Saccharomyces cerevisiae S288C: one gene and its partner. The protein of the gene in region 1 interacts with the protein of each later gene in a biochemical or structural test. Each region holds a gene or a part of one and is shown in the gene's direction. Other genes may lie near its edges. The genes, in order: FUN14 and OM45.

Evidence for each region.
Region 2: the proteins of FUN14 (region 1) and OM45 form a complex in vitro, tested with the Saccharomyces cerevisiae proteins (one study listed by BioGRID).

The regions. Positions count from the first base shown.
Region 1 is NC_001133.9:135,040-138,339, forward strand, and holds FUN14 (Fun14p), read left to right. Parts: upstream 1-1,874; coding exon 1,875-2,471; downstream 2,472-3,300. Other genes in the region: MDM10 (Mdm10p), read right to left, coding at 1-626; Nem1-Spo7 phosphatase regulatory subunit SPO7, read left to right, coding at 815-1,594; ERP2 (Erp2p), read right to left, coding at 2,659-3,300.
Region 2 is NC_001141.2:91,361-95,337, forward strand, and holds OM45 (Om45p), read left to right. Parts: upstream 1-2,258; coding exon 2,259-3,440; downstream 3,441-3,977. Other genes in the region: TMA108 (Tma108p), read right to left, coding at 1-1,428; VHS2 (Vhs2p), read right to left, coding at 3,705-3,977.

The DNA.
Region 1 (3,300 bases):
CTATAACCACATAATAGATCACTGGTGGAAAATATCCACTCCTGTAAATTGCGGTGAGAATCTCTTTGAAAATAGCACGTTAAAACGTTTAAGCTTTCTTTGAAACTACTGACACCCTTAAGCATAAATTGGGTTTGTGGACTTAGTCGTTTTATTATCATTGCTTCTAAATCAGAGCTGGGGTAGTACATTCTACCATAATAAAGGGATTTTTTAACAAATTTCGAGTCATGTAGTAATTTCTTGTCATTGTCGACTGTGGTGTTGTCACTACTCAACGTATTCGCACTACTAACACTGAAATTGAGGTTTGGTTGCAATTGTCTGTATGTTTCGGTGGCATCTTGTAATGGGATATCAGTAGAGTTGCGCATGAATTTCTCCAATTGCTGTGCATCGGAGTATAAATAACTCAGAGAACCATTTATCCTGGACCTCGTAGAAAAATCTAAAGAATTGAATGTATTGGGAGTAGATTTGTTGGAAATTTGCAGGTGTATTGCTGAGGGAATTCGGAAATCTAATAATGTTCTCGATGTGGCCGTTATATCCTCGTAGCTATTTTGCGTACTCCAATGGGTGCTCTGATAAAATGCCCTTAGTACTTGGTCCATATAGGGTAGCATCAAGATCGGTCTTCTCTGTTCGTGTCTTTTTCCTAACGTATATTTGCTTTGTTTCTTCACTCAACAATAAAGTCAAAGTAAAATTAAATACTAATTATTCTTAAAAGGGAAGATGCGAAATTTAGCGAAAATCTATTGATTATACACACAAAGGAAGAAAGGTAGTGGAAAGCTAAATAAAGGAGGTCATGGAGCCAGAGAGCATAGGCGATGTGGGGAACCATGCCCAGGATGATAGTGCCAGTATAGTGTCCGGGCCTCGCAGGCGTTCTACTAGCAAGACATCCAGTGCGAAGAATATACGGAACTCCAGTAATATCTCTCCAGCATCGATGATTTTCAGGAATTTGTTGATACTGGAGGATGATTTAAGACGCCAAGCTCACGAACAAAAGATACTGAAGTGGCAATTCACTTTGTTCTTAGCGTCTATGGCCGGTGTAGGCGCATTTACCTTCTACGAACTTTATTTCACTTCAGATTATGTCAAGGGCCTCCATAGGGTTATTTTGCAATTCACTCTTTCTTTCATTTCCATTACTGTAGTTCTTTTTCATATCAGTGGACAATATAGAAGAACTATCGTCATTCCAAGAAGATTTTTTACCTCTACTAATAAAGGGATTAGGCAGTTTAATGTGAAGCTAGTTAAAGTACAGTCTACGTGGGACGAGAAATACACAGATTCAGTAAGATTTGTGAGTCGAACAATTGCTTATTGTAATATTTATTGTTTGAAAAAATTTCTGTGGCTTAAAGACGATAATGCCATTGTGAAATTTTGGAAAAGTGTCACGATACAATCCCAACCGAGGATCGGAGCTGTGGATGTGAAATTAGTCCTCAACCCCAGAGCATTTAGTGCAGAGATTAGAGAAGGATGGGAGATTTATAGAGACGAGTTTTGGGCCAGGGAAGGTGCTAGAAGACGCAAACAAGCGCACGAACTCCGACCTAAATCAGAATGAAAGAGTTGGAGGGCTTCTTCCTTCGAATAAGAGGTCATATTTACCTATGTAAAATTGTAACCATCTATGTTCACACATAAATTATATTTTATACATTATTAGAAGTGAAGCTGTTGTGTCGTGAAAATTTTACAAATCCGTCATTTCATATTTAAGTTTTCCAACAAGTGCTAGAAAACCTAGGGGTTGTTGAAATTGGTTAAACAAGGCATCTTATTATACATACAACAGCATAACGCTAGAGGGGCAAGAAGGAAGAACTTAAAATAATAGGTGTAAAATGACTTTGGCTTTTAATATGCAACGGTTGGTGTTTCGTAATTTGAATGTTGGGAAGCGCATGTTCAAGAACGTCCCCTTATGGAGGTTTAATGTCGCCAATAAATTAGGAAAGCCCTTAACTCGCTCTGTAGGGTTAGGCGGTGCTGGCATAGTTGCTGGTGGCTTTTACTTGATGAATCGCCAGCCTTCTAAGTTGATATTCAATGATTCTTTAGGGGCAGCTGTCAAACAACAGGGTCCCTTGGAACCAACTGTGGGCAACAGTACGGCAATTACCGAGGAAAGGAGGAACAAAATAAGTAGTCACAAGCAGATGTTTTTGGGATCATTATTCGGTGTTGTTTTAGGAGTTACGGTGGCTAAGATATCAATTTTGTTTATGTATGTCGGTATTACAAGCATGCTTCTTTGTGAATGGTTACGGTACAAGGGATGGATTCGCATTAATTTGAAAAATATCAAATCTGTAATTGTTTTGAAAGATGTAGACTTGAAGAAACTGCTTATTGATGGGTTATTGGGTACAGAATACATGGGTTTTAAAGTATTCTTTACATTGAGTTTCGTATTAGCAAGTTTAAATGCTAACAAATGAGCAAGACAAATGACCAGATATAAACGAGGGTTATATTCTTTCGTTTTATACTTTTTTATTTTTGGTATTTCATTTATCCTATACAGTAAATATACATAGGGCTAAGGAAGAAAAAAAAATCACGTCGAATATAAACCTAATTGTGTTCTATATTGCGGACATATATTTTTCGTAGATTGAAAAGTTCTTAAACGTAATTTTTTTGACGACCAGTGAAGAGGAATTGAATAAGTAGAACTTGGGCAATACTTATAACGGCAATGATAATGATAATCAATATAGATAACCAAGTCAACCTTGATTCGGTGGAATTGACGGTAGACATGTTTCTCCATTCTCTGGCTCTCAAATAGTTCAAAGTCTTCGTGATTTTGTTCAAGTTTCTATCTATTTCCTCCACGGCGTTATTGGCAATAATGTCATCGTTATTGACATCAGCTTCATGCTCGTCAGTCAAAGTTTTTTCCTTTTCTAGTGTAATTTCTACCTTTTTCAACGCTGTACCATAGTTATTGGAAAAACAAAAGGTATACTTCCCCACTCCAAACGATTTTAATAAAAAGTCTGAGTACTTCTTTTGTTTCTCACTAGTAATCACAGATCCATCAGGAGCAGTAATATCAAAATCAATCTCAAAATTACCACCGGTTAGAACTTGGTAACCCACAGCCAGGGAATCATCCTCAGTAACCATATCGTAGTACAGGCATTCTTTGCTGAATGCTGGTAAACTGATAGCAACTGGTGCATAACTGGAAGATGCAGCCACTGAATTGACCAACGCCAAAATTAAAACAATGAAGAAAGAGGGTAGAGCAATTGTAGATTT
Region 2 (3,977 bases), on another chromosome or scaffold:
AGACTTCAAAAATTTTCCGATATGATTCCATATATCCATTGGTTTGACGCTTCTCGCATGAAATGTTTTAGTATCTTCAAATACACTTTCCAGGCCCTTTTGTAGATGAGATTCGCCTGTAGCCAATTGCAGGGACCTCAGCATGATAATACCCTTTGTGTATGCCTCAGGATCAAAAATATCGGAGGTTTGAGAATCTATGCCAGTGTTCCGTTGCGCAATCTGAAATATGCTTCTTCCATTAACGTCAGCTGCATCTCTGCACATGGTCGGCTCCACTTGCTGTAGTAAATAAGGTTCCGAGGTCCAATAATGGGATAGGTCACCATTCTGTTCTAGTATGTGGCAAGCTAACCAAGTAGCGAAAGACTCATTAAACCAAAGAGATTCCCACGAGTCAAAAGATATGTAGTTGCCCATCCATTGATGAACGAGTTCGTGGACAATGAGTTGCTGTGCTTGCTCTCTGACGGTTTCATTGGCCAAGGCATTTGGTGGTATGAGCAGGTGGTTTAGTTGGATGGTGATCATACCAAAGTTCTCCATTGCCATGTCACTTAAATATGGTAGTAGGACGAAATCTAACTTTGGCAGAGGGTATGGACATTTAAAATAGGATTCCAACAAAGGTAGATATTTCTGGACTGTATCTAAAGTGAAAGCTGCATTAGCAATATCCCAAGGTGCATAAATTGAAACGGGAATAGTCCTATCACCTTCCAACTTGATTTCCGTTTTCAAAAATTCTAAATCACCAATAGAAAAACCAAATACGGAAGTAGTCATCAAAGGTGTCTTGGCAAATTTCACCAAATGTTTTTGAGAACTATCCAAAGCTTCGACCATCTCTACAGGAGTATTGGAAACGGCTTTATATTGTGCATCCGTTGCAATGTTCAATTGAAAAGTGGACTTGTTTGAAGGCTCGTCAATACATGGGAAAATATTGCTAGCGGAAAACGGTTGGCAGTGAGTAGCAACGACGTGATTATTGGCAGTACCGGTTTTACGATCCATAAAATTGGTTTTGAAAATACCAAAAGTCTTATCATGATGTGTTTTTATGTCACGAATTTTACCCACGTATTGCACGGACAAAATCAGAGGGCAATCGTTGGACAATTGAATAGGAGATTCAGAGTTGAAAATCGACAAATGCTTTCCAGTGTCCTGAGAAATTTTTAGATCAAACTTAGTAGACCCTATGGTGGCATGTGCAGACAACACAATCAAATCCTTGGAATGTAACTTGAACTGGGTAAAACTGTCTTCGATAGAAGCTAAGGTGGTGGAGTTCGGATTGAATTTCAAATGGATTATGGCGGATCCTTTGAAATTGGGCGACGACTGCTTAGGGTCAATTTCTAGACGCAACTCATAGTGACTAGGCACCACCGGATTCTCTAAAGATAACAAATTATCAGACATGATGGTTAGTGATGATCAACCTGGCGTTATATATCCTTTACACGTCTTCGGACCTTTTTTTTGTATAGCACATCCAGGAATGGTTTGACTGCAAAACTCGTTTTTCACTGAAAAATTACCGGCGAATTGTATAATAGAAAGGATCGATTTATACTAAAGAAAAGAAGGATTAATATACAAGACTACAACCAAGGGTGGTACCTCACTTGAAGGGGGTTCTCAAAGTACTCGAGAATTTTGATATTCTGTCCTGTGTGTGCTGAGCCGTTCCAGCCAGTCTTGTTCCAGAAATATGTTGACAAAATTGAAGTTCGTAAATATATATACATTTCATATAATAATTGACAAGCTGATACATACGGTGTGCGGACGGTTACATTAATGCAGGAATCTATAAATGCTATGGCCAGCTGGCGTCCTTCTGTTATGCAGATTTCTTAAAATAATTGGCATATTGGTGGTAAACATGAAATGTGAAGACGTTGCCCCTCGTCATAGGTAAGCGGTGGTCATCACAACCATCAGCGGTGACAATAACACAGCAAACAGTCTTGTTTGACTCTCCTGCCTGCATGGTGTTTGAAAGTGAATCGTCAGGATTTGCAACAACCAATAGTGTACTGCTATTCGCAGGAGCACAAGCTCGCCGGTGGCCCGTGTGGGTTAAGGGAGGAGTTTGTTGACCCTTATTTTGTCGAGTTCCTTGAAGAGGAGTATATATAAGGGGAAACGGTTCTTGCTAAAGTCCTGCTTCTTTGCCCTTTCTTGAAATAAAGGGTATTTTTGATTGGCCAGTAACGTTAATCATTTAATAAAACAAGCAGATAAGGATGTCATCAAGAATAATTGTCGGCAGTGCAGCATTGGCAGCTGCCATCACAGCTAGCATCATGGTCAGAGAACAGAAGGCCAAGGGTCAGAGAAGAGAGGGCAACGTCTCCGCTTACTACAACGGCCAGGAGTACGGCAGTTCAGCACCCCCACAGTTGGGAAAGCTACATAACATAAAGCAAGGCATAAAGGAAGATGCCTTGTCGTTAAAAGACGCGCTTCTGGGCGTATCTCAAAAGGCTAGGGAAGAGGCTCCAAAGGTAACTAAGCGTGTGATATCACCGGAAGAGGATGCTCAGACACGCAAGCAGCTAGGCCAAAAAGCCAAGGATTCTTCCTCGCAAAGCATCTTCAATTGGGGGTTTAGTGAGGCTGAAAGAAGGAAAGCCATAGCCATCGGGGAATTTGATACTGCTAAGAAGCGTTTCGAAGAGGCAGTGGATCGTAATGAGAAGGAGCTCTTGTCCACGGTGATGAGAGAGAAGAAGGCCGCTCTGGACAGAGCATCCATTGAGTACGAAAGGTACGGGAGAGCCAGAGACTTTAATGAGCTTTCGGACAAGCTAGACCAACAGGAAAGGAACAGTAATCCTTTGAAACGCCTGTTGAAGAATAACACGGGTGACGCTAATACTGAAGAAGCCGCTGCAAGAAGTGTCCAAGGCTGGGGTGATACGGCACAGGAGTTTGGTAGAGAAGAGTTGGAGGAAGCCAAGAGAAATGCTTCTTCAGAGCCAAGCGAGGCGCAAAAACGTCTTGACGAGCTGAAGAAGATCAAGGAAAAGGGCTGGTTTGGTTACAACAAAGGGGAGCAAAGCGAGCAACAGATTGCTGAACGGGTAGCCAGAGGTTTAGAAGGATGGGGTGAAACAGCCGCTCAACTTTCCAAGGACGAAATGGACGATTTAAGATGGAATTATGAGAATTCAAAGAAACAACTGGATAAGAACGTGTCCGATGCCATGGACTCGTTATCTAAGGCGAAGGAGGACTTGAAACAGTACGGCAGCCACTGGTGGTCTGGATGGACTTCCAAGGTCGACAATGACAAGCAGGCTTTAAAAGATGAGGCCCAAAAGAAGTACGATGAAGCGTTGAAAAAGTACGATGAAGCCAAGAACAAATTCAAAGAATGGAATGATAAGGGTGATGGTAAATTCTGGAGCTCGAAAAAGGACTAGTTAGATAGCTAATTGTAAAGGGTTGGTTCCCGCATAACATATATACATATTCACATGTTTCTCATTTTTTATATTTGAAATCACATATGGTCTTTGCTGATTATGGATTGGAAAACGGAGTAAATTAGTGGCATTATTGGGGTATACGTGCATACATAAAATACCGTTATATATCTATATATATGGAAAAAAGAGACTTAAATGAATTTTTAGAGTAGGAGAAGAAGGTTGAAGAAATGAACAATCGCGGCCCTTCAGTTTTCTTTATTTGGTTGTGTCTGGATTCATAGAGGTTATTGTAGAGTTTGAATTTGATTTTGAACTTGGATTCGAGTTTGTGAACGCAGGGCTATTTTTGATGTTATTATTAATAGTATTCTTGTGTTTATTAGTATTATTGTGATTATCGTTAACCATGTTGGCAATTGATGGTGGTTGTGCCAGTTGTGACTGCAATTTTTGCTTTAGATTGAGTTTATCTCTTTCAATCATAGTGTTGTCCTCCTCTTCGGAAGAAAACCCTTCACTGCCACTGGA